Linked DNA regions of Cricetulus griseus. The protein of the gene in region 2 interacts with the protein of the main gene of each other region in a pairwise test. Links are inferred from orthologs where the notes say so. Each region holds a gene or a part of one and is shown on either strand. Other genes may lie near its edges.

Region 1 (13,346 bases), on a different chromosome or scaffold from region 2:
GTGATCCCAGCATGTGGAGATACAGAGGGTCTCTGGAACAAGCTGGCTAACTAGACTACACTGAATGGTGAGCTCTGGGTTCAAGTGCAAAACTCCGCCTCAATACACAAGGTAGAGAATGCTCACAAACACAACAATCACTTGCTCCTACATACACACACATACTCTTCCCAACATGTCAAGAGTACTAACACACATGAACACGCATGTACATATGCATATACACCTCCTTGACCAAGTATGCATAATATATTCTCCCCCTCTATTTTTAGAGACATGGTCTCACTATGTAGTTCTGGCTGTTTGGAACTATCTGGCTGGCCATAAAACTCACAGAGTTCTGCCTGCCTTGGCCTCTCAAGTGCTACAGGAGTGCTCAGCTTATTCCCATGTTTAATATTTTTATTAAAGTTTAGAGGTGACTTTGCAATATTTAGTTGTGAAAGATTAAGTGCCAGACAAAACTTAATGGTTTATAAAACTAAAAGGGCAAGGTAAGATTACTGAAAAATATAAATTGACTCTACTTCCAAGAATATAAATGTACCGTTTTTTTTCATTACACCGTATATTATATTTAAATATTATTTAGGGGCTGGTAAGATGGCTCAGTAGATAAAGGCATTTGCTGCCAAGCTTGTGGATCCAAGTTTGATCCCCAGAACTACATGATGGAAGTACAAAACTAATTCCTGAAAGCTATCCTCTGACTTCCATACAAGTGTTGTGGTACACATGCACACACCACACACACAACAGGAACACACAATAAATAAATACAAAAAATTAAACTCAAACAGGCATTTAATCCTACAAGTCCCTAAATTAGCTAACAAAATTAGCTAACAGAAAATTCATACCATAATCCATTTTAATCGCAACAGTCATATATTAAATACCATAGTCCAAAACACAAGTAAAATGTTAAAATATTATTTCAGGAATAAAAAATTTTAAAAATTATAGAATGTGTGTGTCTGCATGTGTAGATGTGCAGTCTGTGTGTCTTGTGTAGAGGCCAGAGGACAACCTCAAGTTCATTCCTCAGGAGCCATCACCTACTTTATGAGACAGCTCCCTGGCCCAAGGCATAACTGGCAGGCTGGGCTGGCAGGCCAGCATACCTGAGGCATCTACCTAGCTTCACCTCCCAGCACTAGGATTATGGATGTATGCTACCATGTCTGTCTTTAGTATGTGAGTTCTTAGGCATCAACCCTGGTTGTGTGGCAATCATTTTACTGACTGAGCTATCTTCCCAGTACTAACAAACAAAGATACTAATCCAATAACAATCATTACATTAAAAAACAAAACAAAAAAGAAAAAAACAAAACAAACAAAAAACAAAGGACAAAAGCCAGGCATGGTGGCACATACTTCTAATCCCAGAACTTGGGAGGTGGAGACAGAAAGATCACAAATTCAAGGTCCTTAGCCACATAAAATTTAAGGCCAGTGTGGGCTATGTGAGACACTGTCTTCAAGCAACAACAACAAAAAACCACAAACAAACAAAAATCCTCACAGGAAAGGCTAAAGGTCCATTCACATTCTATTTCATTCTGAGATTACAAAGGCTTCTACATCTAACTGTTGTTTTAGGATTTACAACTGATAGGAATTTACAAATATCTCTGTTAAAAACTCTAATTTTCAAAATTGACTATATTATATGGTCTACTTTTCACTTGGGGTAAGGGAATGGGTAGGGAGAAACCAAACTAAACCAGCAAGGTAAACAGACAGGAAACAGTTTCTTGCCTTACAACTCAAAAGGTCTACTTAGTGTAGATCAAAATTGACAGTTTGTACAGTGAGCGTCCTCTTACTTCAGGCAGTGCAGTGCACCAGGGTAAACTCAAAGTTCCCAGGAACTGTATCTGTCTGCTACAAATGCTACAAAAGTTCTTGGGATATAAAGAAAAAACAAACCAACAACAACAAAAATAACCCTATTTTCAGGGGCTGGCGAAGTGGCTCAGTGGTTAAAGAGAGCACACTGTTGTTCCAGAGAAATCCAATTTGGATCCCAGAACCCATATCAACAAGTTTACAGCTGTTGACACTACGAGCTCCAAGGAGATCTGAAACCCTCTTCTGGTCTTTGTGGGCATCCACTCACATAGACAGATACATACACATAGATAAAAAAAAAAAAAAAAAAAACTAAAACCAAAACCCTCTGCTCTCTAGCATAGTTAATTATAGTTTTCAACATATAGTTTATAGTATTCTCTCACACATCCCAGTGGGGTGGGTAAGAGAGAAATATTACTAAAATGAAAGAAGTAGTACATCAAGGTTAGAGGTCTAAGACTACACCCACACCCACACAAATTCACTATCCAGTAACCAAACGGAGCCTACAACATGGGAATCCTTTTGTTAAATATGCTGTTAGCTAAGACTCTAAGGTGCAAATACGTACTACCAATGACTAAGCCTTTTATTTGAAAAGCCATTAGCTAACATACAAAAGAACAATCACATCTCAGCAATTAAAGAAACCAACAATTAAGTAGATAGCTTTTTAGATACTCTGAGCTACCATTTATCAGACCTTTAGAATTTATTAAGATCTTTTTGCATTATCTTGCTTTCCTTTCCCTGAAAGAAATGTCTATTTTCAAGATGGGGACTCAGATTCTGAGAGGTTGGAGAACTTGCCCATAATTTGAAAGCTTTTGAGTGGCAGACCTCAGAGTGGAATCCAAATCTGTGTTTATGGCTACTCCATTATGCCACTATATTTTAGGACAGCAGAATCAAAGAGCCTTGACATGTGTAGCAGATAAAAAGAGAAAAGGATATATAATGCACTAAGCATATCTGTGAACACTGGAAAGTGGGGGAGAAGAACAGAGAGAAAAGGAAGCACAGATCAAATGCAGCAATGGCAGTAGAATCAGTGTAATTCCTAATCCATTCAGTTCCTTGGGCCTTGTAGTGTGTTAGTAAGTGTCAATGCTACCTATTTTACAAGGGGCAAATAAATGAAAAAGAGCGACTGTTGGCAGCTCATTAAAGGCAGATAGGAAAACAAACCATTTTTTTTTTAACTTCATTGAAAACAATAAAATATTAAAAAGACTTGAGAGTAAATCCTGGTCTGGAACCAAGCCAGTATGCTACCCACCAGCAACCAAAGCCATTTTTTGAAACTCAATGAAATAGAGGGAAACAAAACAGTTCAAGGAAACAATCCATGAGTCTTTTCAATAAGAGTAAATTTAACAATGAAATCCAGAGTAACCTTGAAGTTGATTCTGTAGTTTCTTTTTTTCAGGATCATCAGATTCTGCTTCCCCATCACTGTCATTCCTAATGAAGAGAATTTAATATATGCAAAAGATCACTCACTGCTAATAAACAATGCAAAAGTGAAAGAAAGATAACCTAAAATGTTTAAGTAAAAGACGTTGACATTAAAAATTATTTTTATTTAAGTGTTCCAAATGATGCTTTTAAGAATATAAAACAGGAAGCAGGCAAATAATCAATAGGGAACTATGCACTGGAAATGAACAAGACCAGGATGAAGTCAGATACACCTCCATCCTCATGATATACTTGTGCATTTATGTATCCACAGGTTGTATGCCCCATACTATTCAATGAGGGACTTAAAATAGAGTACAGGAAAGTTGTAAGAAACTACAAAAACATCAGGACCAGGTCAAACATAACTCAACAAGACTTGATGCTAGGAAGAAAATGTACAATACACAATTATCTACAACATAACCCTTTGCCTGAGGTTCCAAAAAATAGAAAAAGCTTCCTAGTGAAAATCTTCTGAACATACAAGAAAAATGGCCAGCCTACTTATGTTGATTACCTTTTGTCAACTTGATACAAAGCTAGACTACTTGGGAGAAGGAAATCTCACTGAGGAATTGCCTTCATCACACTGGACTGTGGAATATGTGTGGCACTATCTTGATTGCTGATTGATGTAGGAGGGCCCAATCCATTGTGGGCAGGTGAGCTTGGGCTATATAAGGAGGATGGCTGAGCAAGTGTGGGAATATCTGGTGAGGGGTGGTGGTGGTGGTGGTGGCAGCAGGATCTCTACTTGAATATAAAATTCCACAGGTATGAATTCACTCTATGTCCCCATATGGTATCCTGGGTAGTTTTCCTAATGATGGGAACTCAAGGTTGATTCTCAAAATTCTGTAAAGTAATCCCTATAAAAATCAGTAAGTAAGTCCAGTCCTGCTGCTTGTAACCAAGACTGTTATTTAGTAGAGAAGACTGGCTCTCCCTTAACAGGCAGCCATGGCAGAGCAGGTCATTACAGGGTCCTCACTAACACACCACATGTCCCAGCAGACAGGAAGACCAAATATTCCTGCTGACAGAAGTCTGTGATATGTGGAAGCCCCGTATGTTCATGATGAGTATGTGCATTTCATGTACAGAATATAAAATACTCTTGGCAAGTCACAGAAACTCTGTTTCCTAACCATATCTTAACAGAGAATATAAAACTCGGGGCTTATAATTCTCTTCAAACTCTGCCACACAGAGTTAAGGCAGTCAAATCTAAATTTTATACTTCTCCTGTCCTTAACTTTGGCAATTCCTAAAGAAGCAAAATTTCAACATGAACAAACATGGGCGGGGAGCACTGACTATAGGGCTCCATCCCTCATTCCCTCATGACCTTGGGCATCATCCAAGAAACCTGTTGCCTGCAGAACATAAACTGAGAGCATCATAGGTTCCAGATCTCACCAAATCCTCAGTGCTTCCAACCCAGGCAGGCCACATCAACCCAGAATCTCATTTTCCTAATGTGTCATCAGAGCCATGCTGGCACCCATTCATAGACTCAAGGACAAATCTAGCTACCGCATGTCCTCCCTGCTTAGCAGAGCTGGGAATGCATGCACTAAATGTATAGTAAATGCTCTTTACATTTGTGATACCTAGGTGCACCTAGGAAGATATTTAAAAACTGGAGCTCACTGTTCAAAAACTGTGCTGTTGCTTTCTTCACAATGGCATAATGCAAATCCACATTTAAAAAACCCTTTGCATAAAATAAAAATTGACATTATTGGAGTTCATTTTCATTTTGTCCATAGGGTCAGATTTAATTCACAGGTCACTCCAACTGAATGTCACGGTTTTGTTAGTGCCATGCCCATGGTGTTTTCCCAGTTACCTGAAAAGTCAGGGAGGTATAAACATGCAATAAGCACAGACTAGTAAACTTTGATCTTTGAAAGACTTGATGGTAAATATTTCTGGGTTTTGTGGTTTCTATTGTAACCACTCAACTCAGCTGCCTGAGATGACAGTAAATAAACTGTCTCAATAAAACTTAATGACTAAAATGGGCAACAAGCTCACTCTGGCCCATGACTCATAGTTGGAAAATATCTGGCTTAGACAAAAGAAACCTATAACCAAATAAGAGGTTACAAAATGTAAAATTGAACACTTTAAAATACATACCCCTTCTCATCAACTGCACTGGACTGTTCCTCTTTCACGGGCTTCTGTGGCTTCTTCTCCTTTTTCTTCAAATACTCCTTCAGTTTTTCTGCTCTATCAAGGTATTCTGTACACTTGGCCCTGATACTTTGCTTGGCTTTATCACCTTGTGCTTCATCTGTAGAAGGGAACGAGACACTATTTCATTAGCATTTGTTGTGGTCTGAATATGAAATATCCCCACAGGCTCGTGTATCCAAACACTTGGACCCCAGTGGGTGATGCTATCTAGGAAGGTTAAGGAACAGTTAGGAGGTAGAGCCTTGCTGGAGAAACTATGTCACTGGGAGTGAACTCTGAGTTTTTTGGGGTTTTTTGTTTGTTTTTGTTTTTCGAGACTGGGTTTCTCTCTATTGCTTTGGAGGCTGTCCTGAAACTCACTCTGGAGACCAGGGTGACCTCAAACTCACAGAGATCCCCCTGCCACTGCCTTCTGAGTGCTGGGATTAAAGGCATGCGCCACCAGTACCCGGCCAGATTCTGAGGTTTTATGATTGGACTCTATTTCCCATTCTCTAGTTTCCTAAGTGTTGGTGTTCTGTGATCAATTAGCTCCCTGACTCCCAGACTAGCCTCACACTCCTGCTGCCATGCCTTCCCTGCAATGACAGGCTGGATCCCCTCTGGAACTGTATGTAAACCACAATGAGGCTTTTCTTTCCTAACTTGTTTTCTGCCACAGTATTCTATCACAACACCAGAAAAGCAACTAATATAGTATTCAACAGAGAAAAGTTCAAACTTAGAGCTATTCTTTTAACTAGGAATTTCTATGACACAGGAGAAGGAGAAAGCATTGCTAATTCATTGTGTCCAGTGATTATCACACCTTTTCTGTTCCTTCTCTCTCGCTCTGTTACAGGATGGAAGCCAAAAGTGGGTGTGAATTTAAAAACAAAACAACAACAAAAAAACTTCAGAGTAAAATGGTAGATATTTTAAGTTAATGTTATATAATCACAAAGTATTTAACAGTCTATAGGTTTCAAATTCTTCCCTTTAACAGTTTGTAGATAGCTGAAAGCTGTCTTACATAAAACCAACCACAAGCTGGGTGTGGTGGCACACACCTGGAACTCTGTGAGTTCAAGGCCAGCCTGGTCTACAGAGTGAGTTGCAGAGCAAGCTCCAAAGCTACAGAGAAACCCTGTCTCGAACAGCAAAAAAAGCTGGGCGTTGGTGGCACACGCCTTTAATCCCAGCACTTGGGAGGCAGAGGCCAGTCTGGTCTCCAGAGTGAGTGCCAGGATAGGCTCCAAAGCTACACAGAGAAACCCTGTCTTGAAAAACCAAAAAGAAAGGAAGGAAGGAAGGATGAAAGGAAGGAAGGAAGGAAAGGAGGAAGGAAGGAAGGAAGGAAGGAAGGAAGGAAGGAAGGAAGGAAGGAAAACAAAACTAAACAACCAAAAACACACAACAAAAAAACAACCATAAGAGACAACACACAACTCTGAATGTAGAATAGTGACTACTAAAGGCTGGGAAAGCAGCAGTTAGAAAAATGGCAGCTGGATTTGCTCTCTGTACACTGCAGGCATATGTTGATAGATAAAATAAATACAAGTGAATAAAAGTTTTAAGATATAAAAGATAATCAGAAGTAAATCAGTAGTAACTCCATTAACATCTTTTGTCTGCTTTATTTCACAGTATACAAAGTGACAGAAATCACACACATTATATAGACCAACAACACAGTAGCCTTATTACTATATTAAAAGCCTCTATCATGGCTATTCTGAAATGTAGAATTGAACAATACAGGCAATGCATAGGCTTATTCTCATGTGTCTTACGTGTTATATTTCATTCACAGTTTTTCCCTTCCACTTAAATGGGAAAGCTCAAATTAAAATAACCCAATGCACTGAGTGTAAGATTGGTGATGGATCTTGCAGGTTTTCATGCACTTGTTTCTTAGTGTTGAATCTCCAGTTCCCAGAATAGAGCCTAGCACATGATAAACATCAAGTATGCATTTGTAAAATACATTTAATATCGCCCAACCTATTCTCACGACAAAATCATTTCCAACAGATGTTTAGGAGAGGATTAAGTTCAAATCATATAATCTGGATAGCTTATCTATAAAACAAGGTTTTCTCCATTGAATACATAAAAAGATACTGGGTTTGTGAAGTAACATCTACAACAGCTGTCACATCTGTTAGCAGTACTTAAAAGTTAGGAGAACGGGGACTTTTTCTAATGGGTGGTTTAGAGCTTTAGAATTCTTGTAATAATTTTTTCCCTTTTAGTGCACAAGTTTAAGTAAAATAAACATGCCTTACACTTAACGACATGGAGAAAATACTGAACAGCATGTTGGTAGAGTTGAAGGGCTTCCTCATAGTTCCCAGCTTTGTCTTCCTGGGATGCTTTGCTTGCAAGATCTATTGCTTTCTGTTTGAGGGAGGCAAAATAATAAACTTAGTATGAAAGCATAAATCTTAAGTTTGAAGCAAATAATATTCCCTCCAAAACACACAGTGAGGGAGGTTAGGGAAATTCTCAAAATTTAAATACTGCTGAAGAGGAGACATGGCTCTGGGATTAAGGGCACCTGGCTAGTCTTCTGGGCAACCAGGGTAAAATTCTCAGCATCCACATGTCAGATCACAAATGTCTGTGACTCCAGTTCAGGGGATCTGACATACTCTTTTGGCCTCCATGGGCACCAGGCACATACAGCCCACAGATACACATGCATATACAGAACACCCATACACAGAAATTTAAAGAATTTGGAAAAACCCTAGTGCTGCTTTGCTTGAAGCATAAACATAATACACAGAGATAAAAACAAACAAACAAACAAACAAAAATAACAACAAAAAAACCCAACTGAACCCATGGAGCAATGAGAATATTAAAAGGTCATTAAAATCATATTAAAAAATCTTAGTAGCATGAAAAGAATCTGAAGAACACTTTTTGATGATCTGACAAAGATTCATTTTCACATCTTTGTGACAGGAACTATTACAGAGATTAAATAGAGCCATACAAACATAGCCAAGGTGTTAAAGTGATGTAGAACCGAGGCTTTTAAAATGGTATTGTACCAAATGGGCATCCATGAGGGTACCAAAAAAAAAAAAAAAAAAAAGGAATCTTAACTTAAATCCCATGTGTATGTGTCTAGCAAAAACTAACTCAAAATGAGCAGACTTAAACCTATAGAAAAAACAAAAAAAAAAACAAACAAAAAAGTTCTTACATTTAACATCAAAAGCACAGTGTATACAATGAAAAGATGTTAACATGGAAAATATCAATTTAAAAATATCTGTTTTCTAAAAGATTCTAATGATGAAAAGACAGTACAGACTGGGAGAAATACTGTGAAGCATCAGACAAAAGAGAAATATCTACTAGATTGCATAAAGGGATCCTGAAGACATAACAGTTTAAAAAGAATCCATTAATGGGCTAGTGAGATGGCTCAGCAAATAAAGGGTCTTGCTACCCAGCTTGATTGAGAAACCCACACAGTAGAAGAGAACCAATTAGTCCTACAAGCTGTATTCACACAAAAGCCTGTACATTAATGAATTTTCCAGGCAGCCTTCAATGGTATCACTACTAAACAGCTATATAAATACCATCAAACACTAGGCAGCAGTAAAAAGGGATGGACTATTGCTATATAAGATGTGGATGAATCTTGAGGCTATTATGTTGATTGAAAAAAGCCAATGCTAATCGTTGAGTATTAATGGCTCCATTTATATACTGTTCTCAAAATGTCAACATCAGAGATGGGAAGTGATGAATTCTGCCAGGGAATTGGAATGTGAGTGAAAGAGAAAATGGAGGTTCAGTGTAGACTTAAGAGAAGCAAGTATACAGGGTCCCTCTGGAACTGCTCTGAAGTGCAATGCCTGTTTATGCGCTGGTTATGTGTTTAGTTTTGGACATAAACCTGTGGTGATAGACACACAAACACACAAAAGTACAAGTCAATCTGTGGAATGAGTAAGAGTTACAGAATGTGTCAACATCAATATCCTGATGTGATACTGTACTGGTTTTACAACATGCAACTAGGGGAAGGGTACACTGAAAATCTCTTCTCACTTTTTAAAACTTCATGTTGTCTCAAAACTGACTACACTTTTTAATTTAGGGGCTAGAAAAATGTCTCAGGGGTTAAAAACACTCACTGCTCTTCCCAACATCTCCATGGTAGCTCACAATCAGCTGTAACTTCATTTTCAAGAGGTCCAATGCCCTCTTCTAGCCTCCATGGGCATTAATAACACACATGGAGCACAGACATAATGCAGGCAAAGTACCAATACACATAAAATAAATTGTAATGTAAAATATTTGCAGACATATGAAAATAAGGAACTCAACTTCTTTTTCTTCTCTCCATGCATGCTTGTCTTGTATATTCAGAACCAGTTTATATCCATTCAGATAGACAACCTTGAACTCTTTACAAACTCCAGACTCCAACTCCCCCTCTCTCACTTTGTAACTGAAGGCACAGACTGAACTATTTTCTTTCTTAAAATTTTCTCTGCACCAGCTTTACTTGTGCATTTAAAGCAGTAACCACCCTAATTTGGCCAGTCACCACCTTCTACCACACAGACCTCTGTCTTGTAAATGGCCTCCTTTCGTTCATACTGGCTACCAGTTATATTTGTTACTGTGTGAAGATGAAAGTTTGATTCTGAAAGGAAAGTGTGAAAATGCCACTCAACTGTCCAAGGCCTTTCTGTTGCTTTCCATGTACAGTTGAATGAGGACCCACCATGGGACACAGCACACAAACTCCTGTGACAACCTGTTTCCATTCATGCTCCTTCCTTAGGCTCTGAGTTCCCGTCATCAAACTGCTGGTACAACCTAAACCAACTAAAGCTACACACATAACTGACATACAAAGAAGACCTATGCTATTGTCTCCCTGTAAAATTCCAGCTTCTTAAGGCTTCAGTGCCAGTATGGCCCTCCTGGTCCAACACACTCTCCAGAACCAACCAGTCTAGTATATACTTTCTGGATTCCTATGATCACCTGTACATGTTTCTAATGATTATATTCTGTTCTATTGGTTGCTTTCTGCTTTTATATAAACCATTAGATTTGTGTGAACACAGACATGTGTATATACCGGAAGTCACACACAGACACCAATTCCAAAAATCTTAATATAGTTTTATATGGACAACAAATATTTAGGACTGGGTCATCTGAGTGTTTTTTCTTTTTCTTTTCTTTGTTTTTTTTTTTTTTTTTTGAGGTTTAAGTCACATTCTTTTACTTGGAGTTTTCTCCATCTCGCTACAAGTTTTTTTGTTTGTTTGTTCTTTCAATTTCTGCATTTTTCTCTGCAGAAGGCCTTCACCATTCTCCTTTAAGGACCCAGAATTCTGCAGTGAAAGAAAACCTCAAACATGTAAGCACACAGACCTGGATTCAAAACTAACATAAACACCAATTAACTGTGTGTCTTCAGCACACCACAGCCTCAAGAAGGTTGAGTTTCTAACACCATGAAACTGGAGTAGCATTCACCTTGAGGAACTGTTCTGAGGATTCAATGAGATCACATCAAACACTGAGGCAATTACATTTTATCTGTCATCACATCACCTCTCAGTGAAACATTTCTTATTTGTCCTTGGAAAGATGAGCTACACACCCTTACTGGATGCCAAGCCACACTAGCTTCTAATTCAGCTATAGTATATATGGAACTTTTTGTTTGTTTGTTTTTTGTTTTTGTGTGTGTGTGTGTGTGTGTGTGTGTGTGTGTGTGTGTGTGTGTGTGTGTGTGTGTGTGCTCTTTTGCTTTTTGTTTTTCCAGACAGGGTTTCTCTGTGCAACAGACCTAGCTGTCCTGGAACTCATGGAATTCTTTTTATTATTTATTTATTTTGGAGGGTTTCTCGAGACAGAGTTTCTCTGTGTAGCTTTGGAGCCTATCCTGGCACTCGATCTGGAGACCTGGCTGGCCTCAAACTCACAGAGATCTGCCTGCCTCTGCCTCCCGAGTGCTGGGATTAAAGGCGTGCGCCACCAATGCCCGGCTGTCACTCTTTTTTTTTAAATTCTGTTGTTTGTTTTAGTTATTTGCATCCTACATTAGATTTAAACCATCTGTCAACAAAGATTTGTGCTTTGTTTCTTGGAGAAGTTACTTATTTCCCAGTTCTTCATCTAGATTTCCTAGGTTAGAAAGTTGAGAAGGCTGGAAAAAAGCTCAGCAGAAGCAACCACTATCAACCACTCAACAACCCTCTTCTTTATCGGTCCCATCTGTGCTTTTACTATTCATCTGGCTCACCAAAGAACATCTATCAATCCAAATCAAACACAATACATTCTGGTTATAGAATCAAACTACAAATGTTAAAAAAAGATGATGAATATTACAAAAGAAATCCTTAATATCCAAAGGAAAGCCTTTACCAATAAACAAATACATTCACACACACAAAGACAAAACCACCAAAAAAAGGCCCTAAATCCCCCAAACCAACCAAACTAAACCAAAAAACACCCCCCCCCAGCATTTTCTGAATAGGGTTACAAAAATTGGGGGAAAAGATAAACATACACATCAAGAGGGAACTCACTCTTAATTCTTAGAAATAAGCTATGGTTGCAATTAGACGTTAGTAAAGATAGCAAACACTTTTATAATCTCTTAGGCTAAATTTCCGGTTAAGAGCACCAGAAAAGCCCCTCCCATTCTTTGTGTGTACTGCTCTCGGTTTAAAGGACCATCCTTTGGGTGAATTTCATCAGAATCAATTATCCTATGTTAAGGAAATAAATTTACATTATCATTGCTAGTTATACCAAACACTCGACAAATACGTATTTGACAAACTACAGATATTTCGTTCTACTCTGCGGTAACCAACTAACCCACCAGGCTAGAACTCTTAGATACCAAGCCACATTCAATTCCACTGACAACTCGACCAAATCCCATGATGGGAGAGAGACAGTGTCACAAACATTTGTCAATGAATGCCGTTCCACGAAGGAGCAATCATCTTTTCCTAACATTAGCTATTTTAGGAATCCAAAATTTACGTGCTTTTTTTTTTCCCGTTTCCGGCGAGGGCAGGCAAGTAAAAGATAGAGATTAAAATACTCCTTGGTCCTATATCATGTAACGTGGGAGAACGTACATTAAAAAAAAAAAAAAAACATATTCCTAATGAATTCAGGGGGTGGTGTGCTGGCCGCCTCCAACCTCAGGTTCTTGGGCGGTTCTCGTATTTCTACTCACCGGACACCGGGAAGAGCTTTGTTCATCAGCAGGAGAAACCAAGACGACCCTATTCTAAACCGACCAGAGTAGCGCTCTTGCAAAAGTTTACGCTTTTCCTGTCTTCCTGGTAGAGAGACTGGAGAGCTTCCTGATTGGAGAGATCTGCCCAGTTCGGCCCAAACTCTACCGGTTTCTTAGTTCCCACAGACGGGGAGGCTGAGACGACCAGGCCAACCCATCTGGGCAGCGCCCCATCTTCCAATTAGGGTCTGCGCAGCCCCGCCTTCCTGGGCCCGGGACAGGGGCGCGGCCGTTCTCCGCTGCCCGCCCGCCCGCCCGCCGCCCCCACCCCTACCCATACCCTACCCCTTCCCCGTACCTCCCCGCCCGCTCTTTCCAGGGGCTGAGGAGGGCCGAGTACCTGGAGGTTGTTGCTCGTGGACGCCATGGTGGAGATCCGAGGCGGCTCCCTGCGGAGGAAGGCGGGGTGAGGACCGCGGCGGCAGCAGGGCCGTCGAGTCGCGCCCGGGCCACAGCCGCAGGCCTCCGGGTGCCGGTGGCGGAGACCCCGAGCAGCAGCAGCAGCAGCCGCAGC
Region 2 (12,075 bases):
CAGATTGCAGAGGCCGCTTCTTCCAGGAATCTTCCTGACCCCTGGCTTGGTGATCTTTTCTTCCCAGGTACTGCTATGGTCTCTCATCAAGGCATCTGTCTGTCACCATCTATTGCAACTGCTCTTTCACTTATCTGTTGGCTTTTCAAGGGCAGGATCATGTTGTCTGTCTGTCTTGCTGTTATGGCCCTAAAACTCACCGTCATCTTTGATTCAAAGCATGCCTTTAATAAACAGGCTGAGTGCCAAATGAGATGAGTTATAGATGGGAAAGTAGGGGGTCCTAGAGCCTAGGGAAAGGGGAAAACTGAAGCAATACTGGTTTTTAAAAAGTGCAGAAGTCCCCAAGTGTTAACAGTGTTACCTGTTAGTGAGAGGAGTAGGAAGGTGGATGAGGGTTTTTTTTTTTCCTTTTTGCTACAACATTTGATCTGTTTTATTTGTAATTTACAAAGTCAACTTAATTGAATATAAACTGACATAGACTAAAATGTGCCCTTTTGCAGTGTGTGCAGAGGGACCCGATGGTGGTGGTGCACACCTTTAATGCCAGTTCTTGAGAGGCAGAGGCAGGTGGACCTCTGTTAGTTCGAGGCCAGCCAGGTCTACAGAGCTAGTTCCAGGACAGTTAGGCTGTTACACAAAGAAATCCTGTTGGGGAAAAAAAAAAGGTGTATTTTTCCCTTTATAAAATGTCATACCACCAAGGTAAGAAATATTTCCATCACCCAAGTAATTTCCTAAATGACATTTACCTTTAGACAAATTATGTAATTTATTTGCTATTGCTATTGTATCTGGCTTTGTTGCTGCTGTTGTTACCAGTTTTCCTTTTGTTGTTGTTGTTGTTGGGGGTGGTGGTTTGAGATAGAGTTTCTCTTCAGCTTTGGAGGCTGTTCTGGAACTCACTCACAGAGACCCACCTGCCTCTGCTTCCCAAGTGCTGGGGTTAAAGGCGTGTACCACCACTGCCAGGCTTTTCTTTTTGTTTTGAGACGTGGTCTTGCTACGCAGCCGTGGTGGGTCTTATACTCTACATATAACTCAGGCTGACCTTGTACTGATAGCAGCGCCATCTCGGCTTTGTAAGTGCTAAGATTACACTGGTGTGCCATTTGGTCTGACAGCTTATCTGTTTATGCTATGACTCATTAACTGCCAATAATACGGAGGCTGTGTGAAGACAAGATCTTAGTTCACTGAGGTTCCCAAGTTCATAGTGCCAAGTTCACAGCAGCTACTAAACACATGCCTGAAGAATGGTATATTCCAAATAGTCAAATGGAAAAATAGAAACTTTAAAACCACTAAAGGAAAGTACAGATAGGGGCTGGTGAAGGGTTCAGTGGTAAAGGTCCTTGCTGTCCAAGACCGGCTACCAGAGCTTGATCCCTGGAACCCATGACAGAAGGAGAGAACCAAGTCTACTAGCTGGCTTCTGACCCCACTTCATGTGTTCCTGCGTGAACGCACTCTTGAGCGCACACACATTTTTTTTAAAAGGATGATTATAAAATACCTAGCTAGGTATGGTGGCATACACCTATAATTCCAGTACTCAGGAGGCTGAGGTGGAAGGACAGCAAATTAGGGATCATTTTGGACTATCTTGAAGGACTCCTTTTGTGGTTTTTTGAGACAAGTTCTCACTATACAACTGTAGTTTGTCTGGAACTAGCTGTGTAGACCAGGCTGGCCTTGATCTCTCAGGGATCTTCTTACTTCTGCCTCCTGAGCACTGGAATTAAAGGCCTGAGCCACCACTCTGGGCATTTTTCCTCCCCAAAAGAGAGGGTCTTTCATTGGCTTGAAACTCACATGGAGGCTAGGCTGGCTAGCAGCAAGCCTCACAGATCTACCTGTCTCTACCTTCCCAGTGCTGGGATTATAAGCACTCATTGCCATTCCCCAGGCCTGTTTTAATTTTCAAGTAACATTTATTAAGCTGTGTGTATCCACACATCCGAGGTGTACATATAGAGGTCATAAGACAATTTGTAGGAGTTGGTTCTCTGCTTCCACTGTGCAACTCCTGAAAAGCAAATCTGAATCCTTTGCAAGAGCAGCCAGTGCTTTTAGCTATGTTTCTGGCTCTCCCCCTGCCCTTTAGATAGGGTCTTATGTAGCCTAGACGGGCACTGAAGTGGCCATATAGCCAGGGATTTTCTTGAACAAGAGTTCAAGATCCTCTGCCTCTACCCCCCAGATGCTGGGATTACAGGCATGTACCACCACGCCCAGCTCCCATCTTCTTATTTTATTTATTTTTGGGGAGTTTTTTTTCTTGTTTGTTTTGTTTTGTTTTTTAGAGACAGGGTTTCTCTATATAGTTCTGGCTGTTCTGGAACTCCCTCTGTAGACCAGGCTGGCATCAAACTCACAGAGATCCACCTGACTCTGCCTCCCGGTTGCTGGGATTAACGGCCTGTGCCACTTCCACTTGGCACTTTTTTTTTTTTTTTTGAGACTGGCCTCTCTACATAGCTCTGACTGTCCTAGATGTCCTAGAACCCACTGTGTAGACCAGACCAGCAGGACTCAAACTCACAGAGATCCACTTGCCTTTGCCTCCCTAATGCTAGAATTAAAGGTGTTCACCAACACACACAGCAAGTATCTTATTTTATGTGTATAGGTGTTTTGCCTGCATGTATATCTGTTCTCCAAATGCATGCCTGCTATTCAAGGGAGTGCAGGAAAAGGTGCAGGGAACCCTAGAACTGGAGTTGTGGACAGTTGTGAGCCTCTGGGAGGGTGCTGGGAATCTAATTCAGGTTCTTTGGAAGTACAGCTAGTGCTCTTATCTGCTGAACTGTCTCCCCAGAGCATTCCCCCTCCTTTCTGAGACAAGGTCTCACTCTGAAGTCTGGGTTGCTCTGGAACTCATGATCCAATTCCCTCTGCCTAAGTACTGACAGTACAGGTATGGGCGAAGACGCTTAACTCTTCACACTTTTGTGTAGAACATAGAAATTAGTAAATGCTTGCTGGAGAGAATAATCAATGGGCATTCTGAGTAATCGGAGGTGGGGGATCAATATGGAAATGAGCAGATGAAGGCAGAGGTGGACGAGTCCTTTGACAGTAATTGCCATTCTGGCACCAGGTGGTCAGATATCTCTGTTACTCTCAACTAGGGTCAAGAAGCTCCTGAGCCCGAGATTGATCTGGAAGCTCTCATGGAACTATCGACAGAGGATCAGAGGACTCAGTTGGAGGTAGAATGGGAAGCTGGGGACTGGGAACCTAGGGTCTGCTTCCCTGGGTGTCATGAAGAACACCAACTCACAGCACCACACTAACCACCTGAGCTAACTACCAGCTGCAAAGAACAAGTTATGGGGGAGGGATCTTGGGGAAGACTGATGGGCGCTTGTGGGGAAGTTGTACATCTGTTTACCTGGCTCTCTTTCATCCAGGCCATTCTCCAAGACTGCCCTTGTGACAGAGAGGTAAGGCATATTATGTGTCTGCAGTGGGAGAAAGCCTAATGGGGGAGGCTAGGATGAATAGAGAACATTTGAAAGGAAAGCTTGGCCCTACATTCGTTTCTTCTCTTGCTCTGGGGACATTCGAAGACAGATTAGGGAGGATAGCATAGTGACTGTGATTTCCCGTTTGATTCACTGCTCTTTCTCCCTCAGCCTTTCATCTCTGAGCTGCTCAGTCAACTCAAGAAACTTCGAAGACTCAGCAGGCCTTCAAAATAACACTGGAGAGACCATCTTCTGTAGCTTAGCCCTGTCCTGGATACTGGCTGAAAGGTCTTCAATATAGACAAGGGATGCAGAAGACAAGGAGAGACACTTGTACAGCCCAAGTGTGTGTACAGCTACAGCTGGGCTCTCTCTGCTGGGTTCTCTGCAAGGCAGTTGTGGCTGCTGCCTAATATTTCCCTTGGCAGCCAGGATAAAAACTTTAGGAGGAAACAAAGAACCAAGTGTGTGGAGTGTGGTGTGTATCTATGCTGGGGGATGGGAGAGAGGGAGTGGTATTTGGAAGACCAATATCCTAAGTCCTATGGTTGTGCCCACATCATCTATCCATCCATCCATCCACTACCCTCATCCCCACCCCTATGCCAACCGGTGTTGGGAATTCAAAGATGGAGATCATAGCCTGGCTTTGAAGAGATTGGAATAGTGAGGCCCAGAAGCCATATGGCTGAAGCACACAGCACCAGGGCATCACCAACAAGAGGGGCCCAACTGGTAAAGATAAGCTTTGAATTTCACCAAGGAGGTAATAGGAAACCCCTCACTGGATCTGGAGCTTTCAAGGAGGTTTATCCCTGCTCCACTCAGTGTGGCAGGGGTCTCTACATGCTACTCTAATCTTGGATTGGTTGCCCATACCAGTCTCTGCCCTTAGTGAACTGTGGAAAATGAAAAAAGCAGAGGATATGTAGAGTGAGAGTGAGTACCAGGGGTTGGGTCAAGTTGTTGGAAGATGGATATTAGGTCTTTAAAGTAGGCAAGATGGGACAGGAGCCAGGAGGTAGGTCCTCAGTGAGGCAGGAAGCAGGTCATGTATGGAGTGTTCCTACATTCATTGTTGAAGTACTGCTGAACTGTCTCCCCAGAGATAGGCAGATATCCAACATGGAAGGGTCTTATGAGTAAGCTAAGCTGTCCTGAGTAGAAGGTACAACTCACTAAGATGAATATTCATACTTGGTGTGAGGCCACCAGGATGGTGGGACTGTTCTTACTGGGAGCTCACGATATAGCACAATCTTTCCATGAACTCCACAGCAGACTGCTTTTAGCCTACTGTGTTCTTAGCGCCTCTCACAGGCCTCAGGCTCAGAGGCCACAGGATTCTGAATATAGATGGTGTTGGGAACCTGGAGGTGTAGGTCAGTGTTAAAGCACACATGTAGCATGTATGAAATGTGGGTTCAATTCCCAGTACTGCCAGAAACAAGCTCACAGATAAAAAGGGTCTGGAGCTAGGGATATAGCTCAGTGGTAGAGTCCTTGTTCAGCATGTGCAAGGCCCTGGGTTCAAACCCCCAGTACAGAGAAAAAAATTCTTGGGCTAATGACTCTATAACATATTTTATTTTATTTATTTTACATTTTGTTTATTTATTTATTTATTTAATTTTATTTTTTTACCATTGAAATTGTTTTAATGTTGTTGCAACTCCAAAATGCAACAATCATCAGCTTGTAAAAGACCCAAATTTCAAAGTCATTTTAATTACTCCTTCAGACCTATTCTCATATGATATCATAACATTTTACATTTTAAATTAGAATAATTTATCAACAGCATCTTTTATTAGCTCCACTATAGGCCAGGGCTGGGCCCTGGAAACGGGTTTCAGGGCTCATCCTTAGGTTCAGTCTGATCTTCCCTATCTGCCTCTCAGTTTTAGTCCAGCCTCCTAGAGGGGGCCCTTACTCCTCCTTCCCTCTGGCTCCTCTAAGAGTCATGACCTTCAATGGACTCTTTCTTCTTTACACTGACTGCAAAGCTCACAAGAGTGTGTTTACCATCAGTAGAGCAGGATCGGCTATCCCACTGGATGCCCTGACACCGGGCCCGGGGGAGCTGTCCCAGCCTGCTGGCTGCCTGTGGCTCTGCCACCTCAGGAGGGCATCAGGGTTTTCCTCAGTGTTCTCGGCCAGGTGGTCGGGGGCGGTAGGCAGAAGTCTGATGCTCTTTAAGATCAAAGTTATCGTGGCCCTCCCTGGGGAGCAAAGGGGTGAATGGCAGAGATCTTGGCAGCCCTCAAGTCAAGACCAATCTAGCCTCAGAATGTTCTACTTGCACCCACCGGAAGCACCGGGCACAGTAGAGGTCTCCATCGCAGCCAGCACAGCGCAGGACAGCATCCTCATTGCAGATACAGCACCAGGGGAGCTCTTCTTCCGCAGCCTGGGGCCCAGGAAGCAGAGACTGGGTCTTCAGGAAGACAGGAATAGGGAAGGCAAGTACAGATGGTGCAGAGAGCCAGAGCAAGGCTGTGGCAAGTGTGGGGATACATGTGCCGGGCTTTTCTCACCTTAGTTTCTGCCCTGCAGGATTGGGCCCGGGGTCGGGGAGCTGGTTCCACAGGGATGTTAAAGCCACTTGCCTCATCCAGGGCAGCTTCTTCGGTGAGCTGTGAACAGGGAAGAAGAGAACTACTTCCTGCTCTCGGTCCAGGCTCCCCTCCCAGCATTTCTGGGTTTTGTGGCCTAACTTCTCAGCTCTTCAACCTTTACCTCCTGCTGTTTCTTCCTGGTTTCTTGAGATAGGAAATATGGACCTCAACTAAAATTGAAGCTGTGGAATGACCACTCATGTGGCCCTAAAGGCCAGTGAATGAGAACAGACAACAATGAGGCAGAGGCAGAGGCAGAGGCAGAGGTGACAGGTGGGTAACAAAGCTACCTGCTGCAGCACTCTCTGGATGGCTGTCTCTTCATCCTCCTCATCACTGTCTGGTAGGTGATAGTCCTGGAGGGTCACTTGAATGGGGTACAGGAACAAAGAAAGGAGTGAGGTGAGCTATTTCACCAGATGGCTGCCCTCTTGTCTTCTAGAACTGTTGGTTCCTGGGGGCACCTATTCAGAGCTGAGAACCAAGCTGCTATGCCTCCCTCCCCTAGTCCTGCGAGGCTGGGCCATCAGCCCTGAGAGTGGAGGGCAGTCTGAAGGTCCCACTGTCTCAGAGTCCTCATTCTTTACTCTGTCCATCATAGCTCATGGCTCTGGATGGGACAGATCCTTTGGCACAGGGACCCTTAGTAACCATTTTAGCACTGGCAGGGAAAGTGTAGTCTGAGGTAGCAGTAGACCTTGGACAGGGGGTCTGAATAAGGAAGCTATCTTCGGCCTTTACCTCTGTTGGGGTCCTGTCCCTGAAGTATAGCCAATCTTTTGGCGAGAGCCAGGATCCGTTCCTGCCTGGTGTTCTCCTCTCGTAGCTCAATGGCTGCCTCGGCCAGCAGCCTGCTCTTCTCCTTCTCCAGGGATGGGCTGGCCTGCCCCTGGGAATTTGTGTGCTGGTTCCTTGTACCTCCCTTGTTGAGGTCATTCTGGAGGGGGGCCACTGGAAGGGGTAATAGTTAGGAAGGCAGAAAAATTCCAGAAGCCAGTGAACCCATTTCTCAGCTATTTTTTAACCATATGTTATCAACTTTTGATCAGTACTAGGCTTATATTATATTTCTTCCATTTTTACAAATATAAAATAATTTGGGGCTTTTTGTTGCTTTTTTTTTTTTCTTCGAGACAGGGTTTCTCTGTGTAGCTTCGGAGCCTACCCTGGCACTCACTCTGGAGACCAGGCTGGCCTTGAACTCACAAAGATCCGCCTGCCTCTGCCTCCAGAGTGCTGAGATTAAAGGCGTGTGCCACCAACACCTGGCTGCTTTGAGTTTTTTTTAATTATTATTAAAGATGGGGGTTTGCTATAAAGTCCAGGCTGGCCTGGAACTCTTGATCTTCTTGCCTCTGCCTCACAATTCTTATGATTACAGGTATGTACCATCATGCCTGGCAATACTAGTAATTTTAGTTGTGTCTTTTTCAAATGCATCAGCCTCTATCCACCTAGTTAATATAGGGTGGTTATCCTATGGCTTGAGAATCACTGCCCTAAGGGATCAGGATATGGGAAGCTAAGGTTTAACTGGGCTGTCTTTCAGGGCTGGAATTAGTATTTTCTGAGAGCAGAGTGAGAGATCCTGAAGGAAGCAGCAGTCTTAGATAAAGGGCAAGAAGAAATTTTATCAGAGTGGATTTGGCTCTGACATGGTCACCTTGAGTCTAGAGTTTCAGAACAGGGGCTTTAAAACCAGTTCACTCCTGTAATGACCTCAGCTGGGAGGTGCAAGTAGGAAGATCAGGAGTTCATGGTCATGGCAAGTTTGAGGCCAGCTACATGGGACCCTGTCTCACAAAATAAAACAAAAACAAAAATAGTGTTATGTAGAAGGCTCATCCCTGCCAATTAAGGGCTGTGCCTGTGGCCAAGCCCCTGAGCTTACCAAGCCTGTTTCCTCAGTTATACATAAGGGTTACAGTCCTCCATCAGACCAGTGAGGTACCCACTGAGACTGAGTCTATACAGCAGTTTATCACTCTTAGTTCTTTTGACAATTCTCTTTTAGGGGGTGGGGGGCTAGCAACTGCACATTGGGTCCCAGCAGCATTCCTGTCTTTCACCTACCAGGTGCCAGCAGTACCTGTCAACTGTGATAACAAAAATGTCCCTAAACACTCCCAAAAGTGCCCTAAAGGTAGAAGTCATCCCTAGTTGGAATTCTGCTATGGAGCCTTCATACACCACTGTCCAAGAACCTCCTGTGATGTTGGGAACATGCCATAGCATGTCCTAGACTCATGCTGTCCATGATGTTTGCTGCAAGCTCACGTGGAGAGCCAGTGGTTGAAATGTGGCTGGCAGCAGAAGGCAACTGAATCTTAACTCTTCTAATTTAAACCTCTTACCCATTATCAGTGTCTTCACTGCAGACAATCCTTGCTAAGTCCTTATTATGAGCCGGGCAGTCCCAAGCCCTTACTGTGTTATTCCATTTATTCCTCATGACTTCTCCCACAACACAGGTTTTACCACACATTGCTTGAGTTTACAGATTAGAGATTTAGACAGGTCAAGGAACACATGGAGGGTGGTGGGACTGGAATTCCCCATCTGATTCTAGAGCCAGTGCAAGAGGCCTACACTGGCTCCATTTGAAGTAAGCACTCGGTACTCAGAAGCTCTTTAGTGTTGACCATCCTGTGACTCATATTCGCCTCCTCAGAGGGCAGGCAGAAGAGGCAGGGCATGACTATGGAGAAGCCAAGTGGACTGGTTACCTGGGGCTCTTCGTTCCCAGCTTTCATCGATAGCCACCTCAGCTGCCAGCTGTGTTAGCAGATCCTGAGTCTGCTGAGCCTGGGTCCTGGTATCTGGTGCCTGGTGTGCCTGTGCAGAGGAGGGAACCTCAGTGGGGAATATCGGGATGGGGAAGGCCACACCAGAAGTCCAGAAGAGGTCTGAGTCAGGGGTGGATGCTGAAGAGTTTTCAAAGCCCATGGAAAGGGATGAATTCAAGGTCCACATAGGTGAGTAGGTTGGCAGCTCCCAACAGGACTGAGTATCCACTCTTTGCTGACGCACTCAGTCCTGCTGCTTGGCACTGGTCTTTGGCTTGAGAGCAGGCCTAAGGCTCAGGAGGTAGGGGTGAGAGGCTTTACTAACTCCTGCAAAGCACATGATCATACATGTATCTGGGCTTCTGTAGGGAGCTTGCCCTAGGAAACCCTTCTCTCCCAAGCCACAACACTCACCGGTCTCACGGTGTGAGAAGGTGGTACTCTGCCCTGTAATGCTGCAAGCCGATCCTCCATTTCTCGTGTGGAAGGGATGGCGCCCTGGACTTCATCCTTCAGGGCAGCTAGCCGTGCCTCTATCTCTGCTTGTGAGGGTACTGACTCTGCAATTGGCAAGTGTTTGTAAGGGCTGGAGGCAGCTCAGTCCCAAGCCCTGCACCCTGCCTTTGAGGTCCCCCTGTACACTTAAACTCACTGGGCTTGTTTTCCTGACGGAGCCGTGCTAGGCGATCAGCGATGGCTTGGTCTTGTTGGGTCAAGCCCTGGCTCTGGGAAATGCTGGGCTTTTTCTTGGCTTCCAAGGCTGCCACACGCCTAGGAGGATATGAGGCAGACACTCTTAAGGCAAAGGGGAAGACTGAAGGCACCCATCCAAATCAATTGGGGCCTCTACAGGCAGTCTTCTGTGACCTCTATTTATGTGGTACTGCAGCCCAACCCAGCTGACCAGCTGTAGGGTATGTCTAACAGGGAAAGAGCTCCCAGATGCCTTTTCTGAGAACAGATTAATGAGCTGCTTTCAGAATCCAAGAGGGAAGCAGGAGCCCAAAGGTCTGCACCCATGTGGTCTGCAGATTGGAAGGAGAGCCCTGCTACTGGTGTCCTTGTCCTTTGCCATCCCCACTTGTCTTTTTTTCAGTACTTACTTCTTGTAGTTCTGAGGTGGCGACCACTTGGAGGTATTGTCGGGAGGCCCTCTAGAGAAGGAATTTGGTGTGAGAAGTCCCATCATGCCACCCAGCAGTGATTTCTACACCAAATACTTCCTAGGCAGACCTCTGGCCAGGGAGCACAAGGCCACAGGGCCTGGTCAGATGCTTAGTGTCACATCTGTCTGAACCCTTGCCCATGCCCATCTCTCACCTGGTCAGGACTGTGTGGCACTGCTTGCAGACTTTCTGTTGAGTGTTGCCAGCCCGAGGTACCAGAGCGTTGAAGCTAAGACAGCCGCTACAGAAGGCCCGGCCACAGTTCTTACAGCCATACTATAAGAAACACGAAGCAGGAGGATCCGTTTCTCACCCACCCCTGTTGGCTCTTCTCTGGGACTCTCTAAGCACTCACAGAAAGAAGAAATTAAAGTTGTGACCAGATGTTGGAGGAAGGAAGAGGAGTGGGATCCCCAGGGTCCAGGGAGAGATGGAGTAGAGGGCACAACAAGCCCTTGGTTTCCAGAGTCTTGTTCCGATCAGATAAAATTTCAGGCAAAACTCACATGCTTTCTGCCATTTTTAGTTTCTTACCATGGGGGTGAAGAACAAAGACAAACAAAGCTCTGTGAGTCAGGTCACTGGCTAGTCAACAAAAGAGAATCAGACAGAGTGTAGATACTGTGCTTTCTCTGCTCGGGCAAGATGGTGGGAGGTTGGGCTCAGGATAAGGGCATTAACAATAGCTTCAGTTATTAAGTGCTTAGTGTGTACCAGGCACACAGCTTGAACCTTAAAATTCATCATCTGATCCAACCTCATAATTTACACACAGTGTCATATTTGATCCTGATGCCCACATCAGTATCTCTATTCTAACAGGGGGCAGAGAGTTACCTGACTTGTTAAACTTAGGTCTTAACTGTGTAAATCAGGACAGCTGGGATTTGAACCCTGACTCCAAATGCATGCTCTGAGGTGCTCCGTCCTGCACACCATGAACTCATCCCATTTATTCCCCTCTATCTCCCCGGAAGCTTGCAAGGAGAACCTGGTAAGCCTGTGTCATGAACAAGAAAGCTTTTCCATTGTGCCCAGGGGAAAGTGGAAGCTTCGTAATACAACCTGAGAGTAACGGGCATGGTGTGATGCGCAGCGGCCCTAGGATAGTAAAGACAGAGATGGAGAAGAGAAGAGCAGAGAGAAGCAGGAGGTAGATGCTCCACTTGTTGGTAAAAAAGAAGAAAAAGGCGTAGCTTTTGGAAACTGACAGCAATAAGCTTTATAATTTATAGGGTACTTTCAGGTCCACACCTTACCAACCCCCCTTACAATTATTTCAATTTTACAATATTTCTTTGTGTGTGTGTGTGTGTGTGTGTGTGTGTGTGTGTGTGTGTGTGTAGATATGTGCATGCTATGGCACGTGTGTGGAGATCAGAGAATAACTTGAGGTAGTTCTCTCCTTCCTGGGGTTCCAACTGAGGTCATCAGGCTTAGCAGTAAGTGCATTTACCCGCAAAGCCATCTCACTGGACCTCATCATACCATAGTTTTAACCCCGAAAGCGAATGGGCATACGCCCCTCTTTACAGAAATGTTAACTGAGTTACTTCGTCAAAACTACACCACTAGAAAGAAGCAGTCAAACTGGGTCTTTGGCCTGCAAGTCCCGAGCTCTTCCCTTCGCCCCGCGTCCTTCCTTGGCCCTCCAGCTCTCTAGAACACTCGCCTCCTTCTTGAAGAGGGTGAACTTGACTGCACAGCCGTAGCACCTGCTCTCCATGGCGTCTCTCAGCGCCGCCGATTCGTAGGATCGCCTCTCACCAACGCAGTGAAGGCCTTTCCGACCCTCAGCCTAGGCAGCCCAGCCCTACACGCCCACCTGCGCCATCCAGCTGCGGCCCAGCGCGGGGAATTCTGACTCTCTCCGCTCGCCACCGCGCGGGCGGCGGCGGAGTGTGGGATGCTGGGAGTCGTAGTTCATTTTTCACGACACGCTCATCCACAGTCAGTCAAACCTGAACCGGATCACGCCGATTCCCAGGGGGCTTAGCGCCTTTGGGCCGGCTCCGAGCCAGTACCGCCT

Evidence for each region.
Region 1: the proteins of Zfyve19 (region 2) and Vps4b interact in binary tests that used the Homo sapiens proteins (3 or more experiments, as listed by UniProt). The two-hybrid records come from large-scale screens. The link is inferred for Cricetulus griseus from reciprocal best matches to the Homo sapiens genes ZFYVE19 and VPS4B.

What each region holds. Positions count from the first base shown.
Region 1 is NC_048598.1:77,795,929-77,809,274, forward strand, and holds part of Vps4b (vacuolar protein sorting-associated protein 4B), read right to left. Parts: 5' UTR 13,200-13,346; coding exon 13,173-13,199; intron 7,912-13,172; coding exon 7,800-7,911; intron 5,627-7,799; coding exon 5,470-5,626; intron 3,325-5,469; coding exon 3,257-3,324; intron 1-3,256.
Region 2 is NC_048599.1:59,268,346-59,280,420, forward strand, and holds Zfyve19 (abscission/NoCut checkpoint regulator), read right to left. Parts: upstream 11,999-12,075; 5' UTR 11,773-11,998; coding exon 11,719-11,772; intron 10,323-11,718; coding exon 10,201-10,322; intron 10,035-10,200; coding exon 9,984-10,034; intron 9,652-9,983; coding exon 9,533-9,651; intron 9,441-9,532; coding exon 9,295-9,440; intron 8,930-9,294; coding exon 8,821-8,929; intron 7,046-8,820; coding exon 6,836-7,045; intron 6,462-6,835; coding exon 6,385-6,461; intron 6,113-6,384; coding exon 6,014-6,112; intron 5,914-6,013; coding exon 5,786-5,913; intron 5,699-5,785; coding exon 5,620-5,698; 3' UTR 5,042-5,619; downstream 1-5,041. Other genes in the region: Ppp1r14d (protein phosphatase 1 regulatory subunit 14D), read left to right, coding at 3,138-3,218, 3,420-3,452, 3,645-3,710. UniProt on the Homo sapiens protein: Key regulator of abscission step in cytokinesis: part of the cytokinesis checkpoint, a process required to delay abscission to prevent both premature resolution of intercellular chromosome bridges and accumulation of DNA damage.